Lepisosteus oculatus: one gene and its partner. The protein of the gene in region 1 purifies or fractionates together with the protein of each later gene. This does not show direct contact. Links are inferred from orthologs where the notes say so. Each region holds a gene or a part of one and is shown on either strand. Other genes may lie near its edges.

What was found. Proteins that work in one complex are often made in the same cells at the same time.
Region 2: the proteins of ribosomal RNA processing protein 1 homolog A (region 1) and ddx21 purify together in Homo sapiens (affinity purification with mass spectrometry; 3 studies listed by BioGRID and IntAct, with this or other methods). This does not show direct contact. The link is inferred for Lepisosteus oculatus from reciprocal best matches to the Homo sapiens genes RRP1B and DDX21.

What each region holds. Positions count from the first base shown.
Region 1 is NC_090710.1:1,215,101-1,226,490, reverse strand, and holds the start of ribosomal RNA processing protein 1 homolog A, read right to left. Parts: upstream 5,113-11,390; 5' UTR 5,074-5,112; coding exon 4,944-5,073; intron 4,410-4,943; coding exon 4,327-4,409; intron 2,390-4,326; coding exon 2,332-2,389; intron 230-2,331; coding exon 144-229; intron 1-143. Other genes in the region: rsph1 (radial spoke head 1 homolog), read right to left, coding at 9,000-9,166, 10,318-10,438. UniProt on the Homo sapiens protein: Positively regulates DNA damage-induced apoptosis by acting as a transcriptional coactivator of proapoptotic target genes of the transcriptional activator E2F1.
Region 2 is NC_090699.1:30,701,987-30,712,686, forward strand, and holds the start of ddx21 (nucleolar RNA helicase 2), read left to right. Parts: upstream 1-6,020; 5' UTR 6,021-6,099; coding exon 6,100-6,183; intron 6,184-6,650; coding exon 6,651-6,938; intron 6,939-7,943; coding exon 7,944-8,093; intron 8,094-9,416; coding exon 9,417-9,492; intron 9,493-10,700. Other genes in the region: hypermethylated in cancer 2 protein-like, read right to left, coding at 1-1,421, 2,272-2,692.

The DNA of each region.
Region 1 (11,390 bases):
GTAACATCCTATGTGATGGCCAAAATTGTATAATTTGGAACACAAGATTAAATTAATTTCCCTTTCTTATCTGTAGGACTTATATTCCTCAAACTAGGACTAGTCTACTAATGTAAGAGGGGACAGTCCAACACAGCACCCACCATGTAAAATTTGTCCATTCGAAGTCTGTCAATGCCAGTCCACTCACGGTTCATGGTCTGTAGAAATGTCTCTACAAACAAAAATTCTGGAAAAAAGAAAACAGCTGTTTTAAAGACAATTGTCTTTAAAATTTTCTAAACTGTAAATGATACTCATAAATTGTCTTATTACTTTTTCACTCTTAGAAATTAGTAAAGTAATAGTAGTAGATTACATTGGTAGATTTTGATTCCAAAGCATCCAAAATCACTTCACATATAAAAATAGAGCAATTTAATCCACCAAAATGTCAGCCTCTTACAGTAGAGTATGTAATTAGGTAAAGGACTGAAATCTGGTCTAAATTACCAACAAGATATTGTGGTAATTGTGCCTCTACTGTTACAAAAACACAATGTAGAGCAGCAGCTAGGTTTTTCTAAGAGGTCTTACATCACTGTATTAACCATGTTCAGTTTAATGCAATCTGTAGTTATCAGGTTAGGGTGGGGACACTACTGCCAAACTACAGTACAATAAACCCTTGCTTTAACAGACATCACTTGGGCTTGGGATTTAACACACAGGATCTAGAAAAGATCCTTAAAAGGACAACTCACTTTGTGTCTTTATGTACATGATTTAACATTGAGATTCCAAAATGAAATAAATGAACCTATGGAAAACCTTTGAGTATATGCACTGAAGTGATAAAACCTTTCCATAAAACAATGAATTAATTAATGATGAAGACATCAGATCACATACAATGCAGAAATTTATATACATTCAGTATGCATATACACAGTATATATTTTTTCTCACTAATGTATTTTTTGGGATCACATTATCTTGTTGGTAATTTAATGGACAGCCAGCAATACCAGACACTCCTTCCCCGCATTCCTCTATTAAAGCAAGCGTTAAATACAACATAAAAACAATAAATTATATAAATATGTACTGTATGACCAGATAAGCTGCATCTATTTTGTGTTTCCATGTCTGCAGTTTGAAATGTATTGCAATCATGTTTTGCTTGTCCCTAATTACTAAAGGACATTACATTAGATTTTGAGCCATCAATATATTTCAGCCATGAATTTCACATGGTCACAAATAACTAAGACTACTACTTCTGAATACTTAAAAGTTTAAAAAGTCTACAAAGAACCTTGTAGCCTGGGCTCTGTGACCTGGAGCTGAAAGTTCTAATACAGACTCTTAGGGTGAGCTCACACCCTAAGAAGGCTCCACAGCTAAAACATTGTGTTTTCTTTCTTCTCTTTTCGGCATGGAATTAACCTATTACTTGTTACTTTGCAGCCTACGCATGCTGACACAGCTACCCATTTGAACTACTTTTAAAAACTATATCTCTTTGACCATGGAAGGCACCCAAAAACTGCCTAGATCAGGCTGTCCCTCCAAACTGAGCATCTAGGCAAGGCGAACAGTGGTCACTGATGCAACCATGAGGTCAACAGTGAATCTGAGATACAGAGTTCAATGGCTGAGATGGGGAAAAAATGTGAATAAGTCAACAAAATCCCCTATAGATCACTTCACAATGCTAGTCTGTATGGAAGAATAAAAAAAAACATCTCAAATCCCACATTTCTCTATAACCAAGCAATACAATAAAGCTTGAGCAAATCGTCCAAGAAGAATGGGCAAAAATTGCATCAAGCCAATGTGCAAAGTTGGTAGAGACTTGGCCAAACAGAAATATTTAGTTTACAAGTCTTAATATTTAACATATTTCAGTTTATTTCTCTTTTTAGTTTCTGAAGACATGTACTATAACTTAAAACCCGAGTCTTTCCTCTATATTCTTAGTAAAATATTAAGTTTAAAAATAGAGTATTTTCAAGAAAAGGTACACCACAAAGTGTCTGAATTAATTCGCAAGAAACCTTTTACTTTATCATACCATTAATAAAGGTACTTTATATAATTGCTTATAAGAAAATATATCTTTATATAATAGAATGAAGCATCTTATCCAACAATTATTTTAATACAGGGTCTGTTTACCCTTTAGTAAATTGGGTCTAGTGATGGGACATGATGTTTAAGAACTATGTGATTAATATAATTTAGGTGAAAACAAAAACCCCCAGATGCTCCTGCCTATGAATGAATATCAGAAAAACACAGTGTCCTACTTTCAGAGTGATACCACAAGGTACTGTACAGACAACTTACTGCTGTCCATACTCTGGAAGACATGAATCAGATTGGACAGAACAGCAGACAGCTCTTCCTGCAAACCAGAGCAGAGAACAGACAGCTTATTAGATGTAAATTCCATTCTGGGAACTGTTACGTTACAATTACAGAACATTCTGATCCAGAAAAATGAAAAAACAGCAGAGGTTATTTCTTCTCGCACATACTTTGCAAGGATTCACTTGGCAATCTTAGTACAATATGAAAATGCTTATGTGGGAAGTAGGTACCACCTACAAATATCAGAAATCTAAAAATAAATCACCCATTTAACAATTATATTCCACTGTTGAAATAAAGGAACAGATCTTATCATTCACATAAAATGTAATTTGCAAAGCCCTAGAAAACCTCTTAGATGTGCTCAGAGAAATCCAGTATCCACAGCTGTTGTCCTGAAGCAAACACAAAATGGATTTAGAGTGAACCATTACTGCTCATTTTATTCACTCCTTCAAAGGTTATTTATTCAGCCCATCAGTTTGAAATTCAAAAGCATAAAGGTCCTTTATTGAATTAATCTGTTTACTTGTTGGTTTACAATCTAAGTATGCTCCTCCCTCATTGGTTGTTGAGACTGTTATTAAAATTAATTTTATTTAATATAATGCTGTTTATGATACATTTTCCCAAGGAGTTTCACAAAAAACACAGACAGGCTTACACAAATAAATAATAAAACCAATTTTTTTTGATGCAGCCAACAGTAGAAGCAGAGGTATATAAATGCATTTCAACATCAATGCCTGATGTTCAGGGTGCTGCATGCAATTAGCATAAAAAGCAGGAAACACTATACTGAAAGTCATTTACGAGAACAACTTAAGTGTTTATGTTTACATTATTATCCTGCACTCATGGTGTGAAAACAATAAAAAGGTGACTTCCGGTGAAGCAGTAATAGAGATCCCGGCATAACTTTTTAGCTCCTGGTGTTTGAGAGTGAAACCCTACAAAATTCAACTATTAAAAAAAAAACAAGAAAGGTCAACCGAAACAAAAAGCACAAGAATCTTCCATGGTGAGAACAGATGACAATGACCACTGCTCCACAGAAAACAAATAAAAAGGCAAACTAATGTAATATATAATTAAATGTGTAACACTTAACAAAGGGATGTTATGTTAAAATTGTATAATGCACTATTGGTCACCATGGTACAAAAGATATAACTGCTGTAGAATCATAACAGAGAAACACCCAGATACAATATGGGCATTGAGGGAATATCTTGCACAGAATAAAAAAGAAATGAATTTCTTGAGACAAAAGTCTATGAAGAAGCCATTTAAGGATTGAAAAACAAAGGCAATGAAAAAGGGCCAACCTTTCAGAATGGATGGAGAAACGTGAACCTGATGACACTAGTGGAAACGATGTAGGAGAATGGAACGGGCATCACAGCCAAGTTGTTGAAGCTGATTCCTAAGCTTCTTAAGAAATGGCTGAATGGGATACTTGGATCAAATAGCTACTAACTTGATAAGTTAATACACCTCTGCTAACTACAAACTAGGATGAAAAGATCTAATTAATCTTTCAGAAGGATAATGTTCAAAAGCACAAGACTTCTTTATAAAGTGATTTTCCTGCCATTCAACACTGGCCAGGTAGCTTGCTGCAGACACCCACAACTTTGTGTGAAGATGGTCCTCCTGTTCTCAGTTTTAAATGCACTTCCCTTTAAGTCCCACTTCTGTTGTTTGCTGGGTTTCACTTTTAATTATGAAAAGTCAAACTGTTGACCTTGAATTCAAAGAAATATCCCAACCAGAAGAGGTTCATTTATCCACTGTAGAAAAAAAACTTAAACAGCCAAGACTGGGAGATGTAAACATGGTTCTCCTTATTGTTAAGATGACAAAACCCAGGACTTGGATGATCATTAGTGTGTTTGGTTATTTTTTCTGGAGAGACCTGGAAAGTCGCTTCACTGCGGATGACATTAGGATTAGGATACCCTGACTTACCTGTAACAGGGGTTTGTCTTGCATCCACATGCAGTAGAACAGACCCTTCCAGATTTTGAGCAATTCTTCACTGGTAAACCCTCCTGCAAAGAGCACACAAGTTCTGATATGATGACATATCTTAATTGTGATCACACGCAAATCGTAAAATTCCTTCTTCATGGAAGTTTTTACCACGTGTCGGTGAGCACTGACTACTATTTTCAGGCCGTGATAAAAACACTACCTGTATAATTCACCTGTAGCATATTAACTAAACACGAATAAAGGTCACATATTAGTTGTACTACAAAACCAACAAAACCAGAACACACGCGACTGGATTTACACAGAGAATGCATTTGAAAAGCTTACATCCACAGTAACTTTGTTGAAGTTAACGTCCACGTAATAGAAATGTAGAACTGCATCACTTCAGCAACTAAAATGTACTGGCTATTTCTTGATTAAAAGCAATGGAAACTGCTTTTTAATAAAATCCGCTATGTGTTACAATATATAGGTCCAGAAACGTATTAGTACTTTTGGGGAAAATGCTAGAACTCAACAGCCCCCACGTACATGATGTAACTACGCTGATTCCTACACCAATCCTGCCCGTTGACCAATATATTTACCTTTTTGCTTCTGTGAACGAATACCAATATATTTTTTCAGCTTCTTAATAGCCCTCGTTCGAATGGGTTTCTGGTTAGAAGCCAGTTTCTGAGCGAACTGAACCTCAGGACCTTGCAGTAGTAACGCCATCTTTTTCTTTTTTCTTCACGTGTGGGACAGGGATTCTCGTCTCCGAAACACGTTGTAAAACAGTCGCAGTATGATGACATCATCACCGCCGGCTCTGCGGTCCTTGCACAAATTCGAGTGGACAGAATAGATCATTGTATTCTAAAGCGAGATAAAATTGCTGGCTCTGAAGAGTGAACATTAAAATCACTGAGAGAGAGAATAATATTAATGCGGAGGCTAAACAATGCACTACTTTTTTATACGGAAATAATACAAGAACAAATGGTATGTGAGATAAAGAACAGAGCAAAATAGGAAATGTGCTAAATTAATATTTCATGCAGGTTTTTACAAATGTCGATAATGTGTCAAGGGTTATAAGAGCAACTCCATCAATATTGTGTAGTTTTAGAATAAAACTTAAGTTATTATTGAATTGAGTTCTTATTGTAAAAAGAGTTTTTAAAATATTAATTCTCTGTATCCCTGCATTATTTTCCTGATTATACCTAAGAAAATTAATAATGTTATTCACAGACCGTTAACAAATATTTTCCAACTGTCACGAGTTTGGGAGCTGTGCCTACAGATTGGAGAAATGCAAATGTAACACCAGTGTATAAAAGAGGGAACAAAACTGAACCAGGGAGCACTCTAAGCCTTCTGTGACTGGTTGAATTATAAAAATGAATGTTGATCAACCTAGAATATTTACAAAATAATGGTTCAAGGAGTTAGGTAAGAGGGATTTCGAAAATTACGTTTTTATTTTGTTTCAAGAGCACTATACTGGGGCATTAGGGCCCCAGTATAGTGCCCTAATACTATACAGTATAGTGCCCTAATACACTGGGTGAGCACCCAGTGCTGGCCCCACTAACACCTCTTCAAGTTCAAGTTTATTGTCATTATACTCATGTACAGGTACTGTATATGGTATAACGAAATGCTATTTAGCTAGCTCTCAGATGATAAGTAGTACAAAAAAACAACAATAATGTTATGGTATAATAAAAGAAAGACAGAGACAATAGGCAGTGTGCAAAAACAACAAAAAGGTAACAGTAATGTGCAAAACAACAGCAGATGTGCAAAAACATGCATCAACAGAATGAAATAAAAGGATAGAAATTATGGGGAGTGAGCTTTTGACATGTAAGGTAGAGGTAGATTTCAATGTGTGTTTTGAGTTTTTGGTACGAAAGAAGGCACTGTGAGGTTCAGATCATAGGTGAGAGGTGAGGTGAGAGTGAGAGAGACTGGGAGTTTAATAGTTTGATAGTGCGGGGGTAAAAACTGTCTCTGAGTCTGGTAGTCCGGGCCCAAATACTCCGGTACCGTTTTCCAGATGGTAGCAGATCATACAGTCTGTAGCTGGGGTGTGTGGGGTCTTTGATGATGCTTAGAGCTTTCCTCAAGCACTGTCATAAATGTCCTGTATAGATGGGAGGGAAGCCCCAGTGATGGACTGGGCAGTTTTCAACACCCGCTGTAGGGCTTTGCGGTCAGCAATACTGCAGTTGCCATACCACACAGTGATGCAACCTGTCAGTGTGCTTTCTGTAGAGCATCTGTAAAATTAAGTGAGGATCTGGGAACACATCTTAGCCTTCTTCAACCGTCTTAGGAAGTACAGGCACTGTTGCGCTTTCTTGATCAGACAGGTGGCGTTGAGAGACCATGTGAGGTCCTCAGCGATATGGCCGCCAAGGAATTTGAAGTTACTGACCCTTTCCACTTCAGTCCCGCTGATGTGGATAGGGGCATGTCCGTTTTGCAGTTTCCTGAAATCAACGATCAGGTCCTTGGTTTTGCTGATGTTGAGGGTGAGGTTGAAAAAAACTTTTGTTTTTCCCAGGTAGGCTCCCATCCAGGTACTGACCAGGTGCACAGCTGCTTCAGTGGGTTACCAGATATGAGTTGCAGGGTGATATGGCTGCTAGTACTTAAGTACTTTTACAGTAAGTACTTAAGCTGGATTCATCAAGATGTTAGTTGACTAGCAGCCAGCACAAGAAAAGTATTTTAAGCCCATCTGTTCCTTTCAGTTTTTTTTAAAAAACAATAATGTTTTTTTTAAAAAAAAACACTAATGAAACAGTATTTGTTAACACTATGAATAGCCCCAGAGATGGATGTGGTGAATTTCATTAGCAGGAAAGCATGCTTAGTAATTTTAATGCATAGACTACACCCAAATGTTCAGTAACTTATTCTGTTTCCTAGTGCCTTGTGTGTCAGATAGCCCTGATGTCCAGTACACAGGAAATAGCTAATTAGAGGTTCAATACTAGATCTACCACTGTTGCCAATATAACCTTGCTCATAAAATTAAGCAGCCTGAGGCCTAATCCAGCAGTTTTATAGCTACTATAGTGCTTTGCAAAAGTATTTACCTGCCTTGGACTTTTTCCCTTGGACTTTTTTTTTTGTGTTAAAGCATGGAACCATGATGTATTTAACTGAGAATCTGTGCCACTCATTAACACAAAGTACTCTATAATGTCAAAGTGACAAAAAATCCAGACATTAAATTAATTTTATTTTCTCATGTATCTTACAGTACTGTATATATCTATCTCATACACCCATTACCCAAATTCTTTGTCTAAATTTTGAAGATTACTTAAAGCTGCTAACGTTTTTCATTGTATGTCTTTAATTGTTAATGTGTTCATGTTGTGTTAAATGTACTAAACACATCAATTTCCCTTTGGGATCAATAAAGTCTTATCTATCTACTATGTATTGTGTTATGTATTTTACCTGCCAGAAAAGCAAATTTCCCATCTGGGATAATAAAGGAGGTAAGAAAATCGGAGTTCTCTTAAGCACATTACTTTCTTAACTAATGAGTTACCTCCACTTTTTCACAATTTTGTAGAAACTGATGATGCAGGGTGACCTATAACATTTACTGGACTGGATCTCTGCTACTCCTAACATGAAAACGTGCTTTAGTAATATATTTTGATTTACAAAAAAAGCTTCTGAAAAGGACCCTTATAAAATGTTGATTCTTAAACAGAAATGATAGTTAATAAGTGATTAAATTTACAAATGATACAAAATATCGGGGGAGTGGCAAACACAGATAAAGCAGCAATGGATTTACTAAAATCATGGAAAATTACAAATGGTATAGAAATTGAAATGTTGACAAGTACGATCCACACAGGATGTAAAAACATAGACTATATACTGTACTGTATATATCACATAGATAATTCAGAACAACAGAAAGCTGCACTCAAAGGGCAGGTTATGTACTGTACAATATCCTATATGCTTATCAAGAGAAAATTTTTCTATATACACATAGCAATGTGGATTTTAATTCGGTGAAAGTTCTATTCAAGCCTTACAATGGTTTACTAAGACCTTATTTAGAATATTGTGCTTACTGTTGGACACCAAACCATTAAAAGAATAGTAATAGCCTTAGAAAGAGTTCAAAGAAAGCAACAATAATTATTCCTAGTCTAAGAGAATTGATATACATGACCAGATTAAGGTACTACAGCAAAATCACATCAAAGCAAGACTTTTCAAGATTTATGAACAGAAATAATTTATTTGTAAAATGCCAAGTATGTAATACAAGAAAGACAATATAAATAATCATAATGTATTAATGCTCTCTGTTGTTTTATGTTTGCTTACATTTAATTTAAACATTTTGTAATTTAAACTGTGAGCCAACATGGATAAACAGATTATTTATCTTACTTAATAAATGTAACAATCCACTATTCAAAACATAGAACTAATTAAATGTGCTTGTTTGAAACCCTTATTATGCTTTAAATCATTTTACTATTTTTACTTTGCTTTAAAAATGACAAAGTGTAGACCTAGTAAAAATATCTATTTATTCATGCCTAAAAGTACAGCTGTATAGTTTTTCATTTAGTGGCAGCAGTGTCTCTGACGTGCTGCAGCAGTCACTCCTCTACTTCTTCGGGGGCAGTAGATAATGCCTGAGTCCCCTCTGGCTCCACCTCAGGCTCTTTTCCCACTTCAGAAACCAGGTCTGTTTCCTCTTTGTCCTCTGCTATAGTAGGCTCAGGCCCAGTGGCCTGTATTTCACTCTCTTTCACCTCCCCAGGTGCTGCATTGAATAAACAAAATGTAAATATTTCTACATTAAAAAGGTTCTACAGCAACCTTGTTCAAGATATTTAGAGGCCCCAGCCTCTGAACTAGCCATACCCAGCTTAGTAATGTAATCATATATCCAGTAAGAACAACAATTTCCAGGATAATCACAAAGTACAGACCCATGTTGAACTGGACAGGCTGATTTGCACATGTGTTCTTTTTCTTTCCAATCCTCTTCTGCTTGATTATTTCTTCTTCACTCTTAACACCATTTACTACCACACTGATATAATTTATCATATGTCACTACTTTGCAAAGGGTCTGTAGGGATTGATAAGAGAGTGAAGATAGGAAAGAGGAGAATGGTTTTGGCAACGCTAGGCAGGAACTAGAATAAGGAGCCAATGGTAGGATTGGAATAATGGAGTAGCATGGGCTAAGTGAGGAAGAATAAAAAAAAGCCAAGCAGCAGATGTCTGGAGCGGACGAATGACGTTAGCAGGAAACACTACAATTGTTTAGGCAGGAGACTGCCTAGGGCCTGTACTAAAACTTGTTCGGAAAAGGACAAGGAAGGAAAGACCATGTTCTGAGCAATGTGCTAGACAAGAAATGTGTTGCAATGCTTCAAGGTTCAAGGTTCAAGGTTCTTGAAAAATAAGGAAAGGGGTGATGGAGTCAAGAGAAAAAGACCTCATTAATGTCCAGAGAGAGGAAAGAAAGGAACGGAGAACAAAACAGGTCAGACTTTGAGGAAAGTTTAATATTATAGGACATCAGCCAAGAGGTGATGGTTGTGGAAGAGATACAGGAGAAGACAGAGTAAACAACAGAATGAAAAGAAAAGGATTTGAGCATTATCAACACCAAAACAATATTGAAAGCCATGGGAACAAGTGAGAAAACCCAAAGAACAGGAGTAGATGAAGAAATTAGGGATAGATAAGAGTAAGGACCATTTCTGTGTTATCAGAAATGTAGGAGACAAAAGTGTGCAGAGGAATAGATTAATCCACACTGTCAAAGGCACCACAGAGATCAATAAGTATTAAGACAGAGGCAGCACAACACAAGTTAATTTGTTACAATCAATAACACAGAATTGTAGTTTATCTCGAGTGTGCCAAGTAAAAACCAGAATGGAAAGGGTCGATGTCCACCTGCTGGCTGCTTCTTCAGTTCCTCGACTGGAGTCCAGAGAGTCATGGCAGTCACTTTGTCTGCCTTCCACTTCAGTACAGTGGCACTGATGGGATCCTCATCTTCCCCTTCACCTTTATCCTGGCACAGGAAACAGACCACTTTTGCTCTTTGAAGAATGTCAAACGAAGAAAATAGTGCAAACAAGAGGAAACCATTCATTCTCTACTGCTTGTTTGGTTACTAGTAACTTAATGACCCAGGAATCCCATGTTCATAAAGCATGCCACAATGACAGCTTTAACCATTTTTCTGTTTGTAAAGAAGTGTCTCTCCTATTTCTGTACACTATGCTACTGAGCTTATTTTCCATACAAACTTGTGTAATCAATCACAGTATCCCATGGATTGTCTTTCTCAATACCTTTCACAATTCTGAATTTTCAATTAAGTCAACAAAGACAGCTTTCAGAAATCTTTACACACTTATAGGATTTTTAAAATTTTAAGCTTTTTGTACCAGTACTCTGCTTCTTCTTACCCTAAATACTAATTATTCACAATATTAGGTTTTCATGTGTGTTGTGTCTTGCTAGATTTATACTTTTAAAATTTTATTGTGACATTCAGAAAATTAGAAACAACCCTACCTCTGAAACAAACAAAAATTATACATTAGTGTTGTTTTAAGAATATGTTTCTGTAAACTGCTGCAATTATTAGTTCCAGAGGTGACAACGCACAGTATGCCCAGACCAATACACTACCCCTGTGATGCTTAATAATTTGCTTAAAGCTTGGTGGAGGTATGTCATCTCTGGAACTAATGATTGCAGAAGAATTACTTCTAAAGTGTACAGAAACATTTTGTCTGCTTATGTGCTTTCATAACTATTCAACAGTGTTTCATCATGCATGATCATGCAGCATGATAATGACCTTATTGTAGAAACAAGAACAAGCAGTACTGGCTGGGGGAATATAGGCAAACAGAACGGAATAGGCACAGTGGGCAATACGTCATGCTTCACACATATAAAATCAAAACAGCAATCTTAAATAATAATTTAAGATTAATAGTTCATAGTTCATA
Region 2 (10,700 bases), on another chromosome or scaffold:
ACAAAGCCCGGCAGGGTCCCTTTCAAAGGCTGTGTTAGCAAAGACATTATCGGAATCTCTCATTTCAGCGGCCTCTGGGTTTTCCTTTACAATACAGCTATATGTGACTTGAGCCTGGTAGATTTGGAGTGCATTCTCTCCATTCTCTCTTCGGTTCAAACCCTCCCACTTCTCCTCAGAGTCTCTGGTGTTTCTGTTGATGTTTCTGATACCTCTTTGGGCTCTAGCTGCAGCGTCATCAATGTCTGTGGGAAATTCGCCCGTGTCTTCACCCGTCGTATTGGTAAAAAAAACACACTTCTCACCCCTACAATCCTCCCTTTTTTCCATAGCACCACAGCCTTTGCCACCCCCGGCCATCACAAACGTCCGCGTGTCGACATCAGAATTGCTTGAATTTCCGTTTCCCTGGCTGAGTTCATTGCGCCCTGTCTGAACACCCATACTTGCAGTTGAAGTGTGTGAATATTCACCTTGATGTACGGGATCATTTTCAGCACCACACACAGTCAAGAAGCTACAGGTCTCGTTCTCAGAACGCCCTGGATTGTGAACTTCAGCTGCTACATTGTCACCGTCGTCCACAACCACTGCCGGACTCCTACTACCCAAAGCGGAGAACGGCTGTATTGTGGCCGTTCTAGTGTTGCTGCCAAGCGCTCCCTCTGGTACGAGGGGCCACTTTTCAGTTCCGAGACCACTGCGAGTTCTGCTGTCGGATACACCTTCACAGGCCTGCGGACGCATGGGTGTGCTTTCATGGACGACAGCCCTTTCACTCTGTGCTGCGAGCCCTACAGCACATCTTTCGGCAGCCTCCCCCCAAAAATCACCTTTCGCCTCGTCGAAATCCCAGGGATCGTCACACTCGGTGACGGCGGCGCGGTGGGGACCTGTGCTTTCTGCCAACGCCGCGGCTCTGCTGATTATGACGCTGTTCTCAGAGCTCGTCTTGCTGCTCTCGGATTCAGCTGCAGTTGGGTTACTGAGAGGGCAGGGGGGCTCAGCGCCGGCAGTGCCACTCAGTGCTGAAGGCCAGTTGGCTTGCTTTAAAATCCCGTATGAACCTGTCCCGTACTGTAATCCGTGACTCTTGGGCTGGTTTCCAGAGCGAGACACTGTTATTCCTTGGTCGCCGCTACCTGCCTCCTTGCTTTCACCGCAGTGAAACCCCAAGTCCAGCATGTCTGAACCAGGAATCTGGCTCGGGAGGGGAGTCTGCGTTCCTGGGAACGAGGATGTCTTCTCAGGTTTTCCTCTTGTGCTTGCACGCCGAATGACTGGAACGACCTCGCAGCTGGGCACCAGTGGTGTGGTCTGTTCGGGTTTGCCGTTGAGCAGGGGCGACGGGAGATCTCTTGGCACTGGCTGGTACTCTGCCAGTCGCCTCTTCCGGTGTGTTCTGAGTGCTTCAGACTCTGCTGGGGAATACATAAACACAATAAATAGGATACTATTTCTGGTTTGTTAAAACAGCATTTTCTATGTTATGCTTGCTTTAGTTTTTAAATTCTGAAGAGCTCAAAAGATAACACCTGCAACGCCCATACTATTTTTATGCTTAAGGTATACTTACATGTGAATTTTAATAAGTAAAAATACATGCATCAACCATTTCATTTTTCTCAATGTGTTTTGAGAAAAGTGAACATCGAAACATTTTGATACTAGATCCTGTTACTTTCAGCCATGTAAATCAAGTGTCAAGATAAGAGCTCTTTATTGGCCATATACAATTTCTAGTATTAGGAATTTGTCTTTTCACATACTGTACCTCAGCTTGCTCTCCATGAGACACCCAGACAGGGAGAGAAGCTTGGGGTCAGAGCGCAGGGTCAGCCATTTATATGGAGCCCCTGGAGCAGCTGAGGTTAAGGGCCTTGCTCAGGGGCCCAACAGAGTAAGATTCCTCTGCTGGCCGCAGGATACAAACCGGCAAACTTCCAGCCACAGGCCCAGATCCTTAGCCAGAGACCCACCACACCACCCCTGGTGCATTATAATCATGGTGCATTTCAAGTGATGCTGTTAAAGTTATTTGTGCTACAGTTTTTGTTCTGTTTCCAGCCTGATTAAAGTGTTAAATGGTGTACATCTATTTTTAAGGCATATGGGAGAGACAAAGTATGTCGCAAAAGTGGCATTGGCTCAGTATTGCACACATACATTCCAGAAAGGGGATTAATAGTTAAGACAGAAGCTTTAGACATACAGTATGTAAGAATTGCAAAAGCAAGCATTCAGATAACAGAGCTGTGTATTGCACCCAACCTGATGCTTGCTCCTTCACTGGGGCTGATTCTCCTCGCCCTGGTGACCCCAACAGCGCAGCCCCTCTGTGGCCGAGAGCCTGCAGGAGCTGCTCCATCTCCAGATAGACAGCAGCCGACAGCACAGAGTCCTTCAGGTCGAGTGGTGGCAACGTCCCAGTGTAGATGAACTCCAGGAGCAGCCCCATGGCTTCAGGGGTAAGAGTAGGGCACCCCAGATCGAGCAGAGAGCCCTGACTGGGGAGAAGGGAAGCCAGGAGAGGGCTTGAGGCAGCCAGGACACTTCTGTGGGCTATGTAGAGTTTTTCAGGGTGAAGCTGCAACCTGATCACACAGTCACAGAACTGGCCTGACTGCCTCTGAGAGTTCAGCTCCCTCAGCAGAGTGAGGGCGTGGGAAGAGACTGGGAGAGGACAGGCCATCACCTAGAGAAGGGAGAAGACAGATTTGCGTGTTCCATTCATTTCTCAGAGCCGCATACAGTACAGTAATTCACATAGAATGAGAGAAAGGGACAAATACACAGAGTGCACCAGACTTTCCTTTTAAATGTTTCCACTACATACCATTTAAATGTATTCTGTTTCTGAATCAGGTTGAGAAATAGGTTTCGGTCTCTGTTATGCACTGGAGAATTCTGCTGTGCAATACTTACGTAAACCAGAAACGTTAGGAGTAGGAAATAAATTGGTTGGCATTAACAAGAAATTAGATACAACATCAGACAAAGCCTGTATGGTGTACTGGGTCTGAACACTTTCATTCCTGCATCACTACAAGTACTAAGAGTAGTGGTAAATGACGGCATTAAGCTGCTGCGGTGACGATACACACTTTATGGAGAATTACAGTTAATTAGGGGGATAAGCACCCGCTCTGCTCTCCCTGAAGTCTCCTGCGAGCGCCCGGGTACCTGCGGACAGGCCAGGACAAGAGGCTACGTGCGCTTTCATTCGAAAACAATCACACGGTTTCGCAACGGCGAGCCCTACGTGACTCTGTCTGTTGCAGATAGGGGAGTGGAGTCCCGCTGTCCTGACGTCAAGGTCTCTGAACTCACCGCTGGAGCGCCCTGCCCCAGGACACTGCCTGTGCTCGAGGCTCCAGCGTGATAACCCACCTCCTGATGACGCTCCGTTTTTTTTTTATTCCGTAAAAGGAGTAGCATACACACGCACATGTGACCCCCTAGCCTGAGGTCCAGCTCTGCTCAGGGGGTTGAGTCCAGTGCCGTTACAAGATCTGTCTCTCGCGCGCAGTCCACCGCAATGGAAAGTAAATGATATCCACGTGGACCGAAGACCTTGTGAGCTTCCAACAGGCTAGAGCCGACTGCAGCGGGTTTATTTAAAACGCCTGGCTGTCGCCAGATGACGCTTTCCGGAGATAATAGTTCGTGCGCTTATCGACACGAAGCTGCTCTTTAATCATTAAGGTACAAAACAAATACCGCATATTCTCTTCGCTTTTATTTGTTTCCAATTTATTTTTGAAGGTAAACACCCTCCCTATATTCTGCGATTTAAAAAAACATGTTCATCTTATTAAATTGCGGGATTCTTAAAACACCCTTCTCACCGAGTCGTGGTTCCTGTCTCACAATCAAAATAGAATGCATTTCTTTAAATAAAAACATCTGAAATAAACTTTACTTAATTGAGCTGCGTAATGCATTTTCACGTCCATGCAACTTTACATATTCGGTGCAGATATTCTTTTACTGAAAGTTATATTCCACACACACACACCATATACAGCATTTACTGTGCACATTTTGTAATGTCACGTATGACAAATGGCTGCCATTAAATTAGTAAAAGTGAGCTGACAAGAAAAACGTTTCTAAACACAAATTTTAAAAAATAAATCATTTTTAGTTTCTAAACCTAATTTGCGTTGTCGTATAGAAGCATTTTAATTCCAATATGAACTAAGACTTCAGAAATCTGTTCCTTCTTTTCCTTTCACTATTCTTTTCCTTGCACAAATTCAAAACAGTGGTAATTCAGAAATTCTGAATGTATAATCATCCTCTTAAAGCAGCTGGTAAAATAAAATACATACCTGTGGTGTTTAGTTAAAAAACTATGAAGAAATAGTTTGTCAGTATATAGCAGAGGCTGTCTGACCACCGGACACAATCACAGCCTTACGGCCCATGCTGGCTATCCAGAACGCCGCGGGTGTGTTTAAAGACTCAGCTGAGAAGCTACGTGCGCTTCCATTCGGAAAATACCATCAGCCGCTGCTAGAGACAAGCTAGACGTCACACCAGAGCACCAGACATCTGTAAGGGGGGGGGGGGCACCCCACCATGACGTCACACATCACTCAGCTCCTTAAAAAGTGTGTTCCCAGGCTTCTCCAGTGCCGCTGCAACACGCCCCTTGTCCCAGGATAGGTCTTTCCTTCTAATCAGTGACAGATCCGCGGCTGTAATATACAGTTTAGACGTGGTAGTGAATTTCAGTTAATGTTTTATTTTAATGTTAAGGTTGTGTTGTTGTATTGAACTTAAATCGCAAAACAAATTGCCCTTAGGTGATAGTAATAAAATATGAATTGAAATGGACGAGTTTATGAACATTTTGTTTTGACATCGCTGGAGGGATATTGTATTAAGGCGATTATTTACTTTTTAAGTTTTTTATAATATAATATCGCAGTGATTACAAAGGATCACTTACAATGTTTAAAGATCAACTGAAAGCGTTGTGTTAATGGATGCAATAAATATGGACAATAAAATAAACAATATGGCTCATACTGATATTAAGCATTGCTCAGCTTTGTAAAACATCTCTTAGCTTCTTGTCGAGGAATATTTGCGAAACATCCGTTTACAGGCAACAAAACAAAAAATCAATTTATGAAAATAAAACTAAGCGTCTCGTTACGCTTTATCCAGCCACTCATTTCAATGTTTATCTTCTGAAATAACTATGATAATTAAAATGTACAAAAATAATACATAATAGATGTTAACTATAGGTTACCATTATAGGTGGTAACTAACAGTCGTGGGTATATTTAAAATCCGTGTCATACAAAATAAACGCGCTTATTTACATGCAATATGCACAATCTCAGTGGCACCAAACTCACAGCACTCCACTGCTTAGCGCTGAAGGCTCATTTTCAGTTAAGATTACATACAGAACACCCAATTGTCCACGTAAACAAATTCTGAAACTAATTTCCAATAATTATTGATGCAACATAACTCCGCAAACATTTATTTCAGCGAGTTCAATTTCTCCCAGCTAGTTCCATTTCTCCACGACGCACTGTTCTTTTGTGGATGAATATTTGTTTTTAGTGTAATGTTTACGTGGTCTTTGGGACAAAAGGGACACTCTCCTCGATCCCAGGTGTTGAAGAGCCTTGATGTTTCACCTGTAGAATGCAGTTACTGAGCAGAGCAGCCTTCAAACAACGTGTTACTGGCAAACCAAGGTTGGTGAAGAGGTAAGAAAAATGAGTTTTAAACACCCTCGTTTAAGTGTTGTAGCAATAAAATGAAACAGTGCAATTATCTAGGTAGGTACAAACTATTTTCACCACGTTTGCATTGTTTGTTTTTAGTCTGGTGTTACCGGAGTCCTACACGTCTTGACGTTTATTCCACTTCCAGTGAATAAACACCTTGTTTCTGTACACGCAGCTGGTCTCTCAGCCGCATGGAGCGACGCGCTCTGTTTGGCGTCTCTAGCTTGCCGTAGTCCTGATAGCGGATATGGTTGCTGTGGAGGGGGATGTTCTTTCCTTGTTAGCTTTGTCGCCGAGACGGCAGTAGGAGCCCGTCTTTGGGAGAACTTATCGGGTGAAAATGCCGGGAAAGATTGTTGAAAGTGAAGACATCGGGATGGAAGACGATCTTGACACCAGTATGGAGGACTATAAGCCATCCAAGGTGGGGAAAGGCGATGGTTTATAGCTATAATAGCATTCGTGTTTATACTGTACCCAGTCAGAAGTTACATGGATGCCAAGCACGTGTGTCTGAGAGTGTACACGTGTGTGAGATATTTAAACGTTTTCTGAGAAAGTAGATTTAATTCTTATGACGGGACAACAGAGTAGCATTTGACTAAGGTAATCAATAATACGTATTACTAATTTATCTTTACATTCTGGTATATTTATATAATGTAGTTTTGTTATTGTAGCACTTGTCAGACAACATGATAAAAGTGTGACGTTCAAATACTTAAAACGGCCATGCTTATGTAAAGGCAGTGAGCTGTGGGTTTTATCCACAAAACATCTTCATGGTTCACGCTGTCAAGTGCCAGGCGTTTTAGGTACCACATGTTGGGTATATACTTGGATTGCTTGTAAACACATTGGACGAAGTATGTTTTTGTTGTTGCTCGGCAGAAACAAAAGAAGGGAAAGAAATCTAAGGATGAAAAGAAACCCAAGAAAAAAAAGGGAACAGTGGAAGGGCAGCCCGATGAGACTGACACACCTCCTCCCAAGAAGAAAAAGCGGGCTTCTGTCGAAGAGCCACCAGCCTCTGAAACGACAAGTAACGGAGACGCCGTCAGGGGCAGCTCAGCAAAGAAACACAAGTCCAAATCCGTCAATGGAACACCATTAATGAAAGATTTGCCTCATTCCAGTGAAGAATCCGGCAGTGATTCTGGCCATGAAACAGAGCCTAAGGTAACGCTTGTGAATCTGCTGGTCAGGTTTTAAAGCTATCCATTTACACGTGTTGTATTAATGCCGTTAGAGAAGGTAGCTCTTTTGATTACATCTGGAGTTAGTTCAGTCTCTAGGATATCTTTATACCCGGTGGAGTGCAGTGCCATTGGGCTACTTAAGTGTTTATGTTTAGAAGGAAGGAAAAAATTGGCATTCACAGGTTATTAATAATTGCTTACACATATACAGCGCTTATCTGGACACTCCACTCAAAGTGCTTTACAGGTAATAGGGACTCCCCTCCACCACCACCAATGTGCAGCCCCACCTGGATGATGTGACGGCAGCCATAGTGCACCAGAACACTCACCACACATTAGCTATTTAGTGGGGAGGAGAACAGTGATGAAGCCAGTTCATAGATTGGTATTATTAGGAGGCCGTGATTGGTAAGAGCCATGGGAAATTTGGCCAGGACACCAGGGGTACACCCCTACTCTTTTCAAGAAACGCCCTGGGATTTTTAATGACCACAGGGAGTCAGGACCTCGGTTTTACGTCTCATCCGAAGGACGGAGCCTTTTTACAGAGTATAGTGTCCCCATCACTACACTGGGGCATTAGGACCCACATGGACAGCAGGGTGAGTGCCCCCTGCTGGCCCCACTAACACCTCTTCCAGCAGCAACCTTAGTTTTTCCCAGGAGGTCTCCATCCAGGTACTGACCAGGCTCACACCTGCTGAGCTTCAGTGGGCTGCCAGGTGTGGGTAGCAGGGTGGTATGGCTGCTGGCATTAAATGTTTAATGTTCCCTACACGCTTCTTAAATCACAGTCATAGCCCAGCATTTGACCTCTATACCTGCAGTACCACTAAAAATAGTGTTGATCTCAGAGCAGCACGAGATGTAATTATCCCAAGAAAAACACACTTTTGCCCCCCGCCCCATCCTGTGGTGCCATCAGTTCCAACAGCATCAGCTGCCCTAAAGAACGTTGTGGTGTTTTTCGCTTCCCCATCAGCCGAAGAAGACGGGGAAGGCAGTCGTCAATGGCGTCTCGACAAAGAAGTTGAAACGGCAAGCCAGCAGCTCCCCGGAGCAGGGAGCCTCGGTGCTCACCCCGTCTCATTCCAGCGAGGACTCCAGCATCGACAGCGAGAAGGAAGCGGAGGTATGAAATCCGGCTGGTCCTTCGCGTTTCTAAACCGGCATGCTCAAAGCCTGCTCCTCGGTTTTACTTGAAAGACCTGCGTGTGTGTGTTTTAATGGAACATTCTTTTAAAGAGATCCTAATTATCTGACGTCCGCCCTTCATGTGACTCTGTTTGTTACGTGTGCTAGTCTATTTGGTGTTCAGTTGAAAAGTGAAATAAAATCGGGCTTGGTGGAGCTTTACTAAAAAGAAAGGAAGTGAAGATGTTTTAAATTAAGTGGGCATTTCCTTCATGAAGACTTTTTTTGTCCCCTGCAGTCGTCAATGTAGACTACAAGAGTTCTTCTAGGACTTCGTAAAAGCTCGTTAACTATATAATTATAAAAAATAATTGGAAATTTAGAGTGGACACCGATGTCCTGCTCGCGTATAAAGCACAGAACGGCTTAGCACCTGATTATTTTAAGGCTTATTGCATGTGTTAACTCCATCTCTTAATGTAGGACATATTGATTTAGGCCTTCTTACTCTGCTGAGTTCTGTTGACATGTTTTTTAAAACTTGCTTAAAGACCTATTTTCCACAGTTGCTTTAATATGTAATTTGGGTATACTCTTGGTTTTATTAATTCAGTTGGCTGTGCATTTATTTTCTGTTTACTAGTTTCTACACAATTGTGCCGTTTTTTATTTCTTTGAAAGTGCTTATAACTTAAAGTGTAGTACATTACCACTACTTTCACTGTTAATATTTCTATTTGAAATTTCAAACACCCTGCAGAAATTCTGCTAAGACTGCGTCCTAAGACTGTGCATTATTAATTCTAAAAAAGCCTTTTTCCTTGGTTACTCAGACTTCAGATCACAGCATTCACAGGCACTTGATACTTTGCCTCTTGTCAGTGTTTAAATACTCCTGGTGGTAAATGTTTCTGTTGAAATCACTCCAGAGGAAAAAAACTGGTGGTGTTTTCTGAACGGGTCATATAAAGGAAGTCCATTTCATTCTGGCTACATTTCTTTTACAAACTGGAGAATGCCTTATATGTGCTGTGTTACACATCGCAAGGATTGGCTTTGCTTATGCATGTTTTCTGTCAGAATATTTAAAGTTTGTGCATATGAACTTGTCAGCAGCATTGTTGAACCACTTTTTGCAACATGTCTTTTCTGTCAAGGTAGAAGTTTGATGTTCAGCCAAACATGTAAAGCTTGACTTTGCACTGTATTTGAACCTCCCCACACACACATATATACCCCTCAGATGCAGTGATTTAAGATAGATGCTGGAATTACACTTGTTCCTCTCTTTGAAGTACCATTGTGTTCTGTATGTGTTTAGGAATTAACTCCAGAACAGAAAGCCGGTGCCTTCTCCAATTTCCGAATCTCCAAAGAAACCATTCAGCTTCTTCAAGGTATTTCATCCCGTCTTACCTATCCATTTTAAACCAGTATTAAGCCTGTAATTGTGCCTCTTTTGACTGATTAGCAACAAAATGGTTGGTGAGTTGATGCTGATTAGTTTATGCCCACCCAGTACCAGAGCACCTGTGTGACGACGGCAGAGGTTGAAAGAGGATGACAATAGAGAGAGACTCTCTTTTTATTTGAAAGTGTGCTTCACATGCAAGAGAGGATGAAGCTTAAAATTCATGCTTTTCTGTCATGGTAGTACTCCAAGGGGGATAGTGTTTTCCAGTCCAGTCATTAATCGAGTTGCTCTTTAAAAAATTTTGTGTCTTGAGTAACGGTTGCATAAACACACTGGTTTATGGGTCTCCGTATGTTATTCCGTGTCTTCTGGTGTTCTTGCGGGACAGTTGTAGGACTTCACAGAGCTGTCGCAGCACAGCTGCGGACTCGCCACCCAGCACAGCATTGGAGAGTGATCTCACGATATCTTCATTTTTGTTCTGTACTGCTACTGCATTCTGACTTATAAGCAACAGTGCTTTCACTGAGCATCATCATTCACTTCTCTTCTTCTCTGGGGGCCGTGAGTGATGTTAGCTGGCAGCTAATACAGTCATTTCTGTGCTATGTTACTGTTTACAATGATGGTAAAACACAAGAAAAAGAACCCCTGTACTTCAATAATACAAGCATGGTCTGTCTTTATGTACCTCTCTCCTTACTGAGAACTACCACTTCATCCACATTAAACCCATAAATGAGAGATGAAAGCACAGGTCTATTTCTTGAAATATTAGTAGAGTTTATAAGTGCTGTTTATATTTTATATCTTTCCCTATGATACTTAAAATCAGTTAGAAACGCTGGTTTTAAGCCCAAATGGAGCTGATGTGCATGACAAATAAAGCCCACTAGAGGGCATCATTTACCAAAAATTATTTTGGGTGTTACAGGAACCTTTAAGCATATACTACCATTGAGTTCAGACATGTGGAAATCTATTGTCAAAAGTCTGCTTTGACTTATCCTGCTGTTCTTTTTTCTTTGTTGCTCACCCTAGAAGAATTGTTTTCGAAGATAATGTTCTCACAGTCTGACATTTTTAACAGGTAGAGGACTGCAGCTTAGCTGCTGATCTCCATATCTTTCTGTTATCAATGTAGGTGTGGTGCACAAAAGTAAGCTATGGCTTCCCTCTGCAGAATCTGAA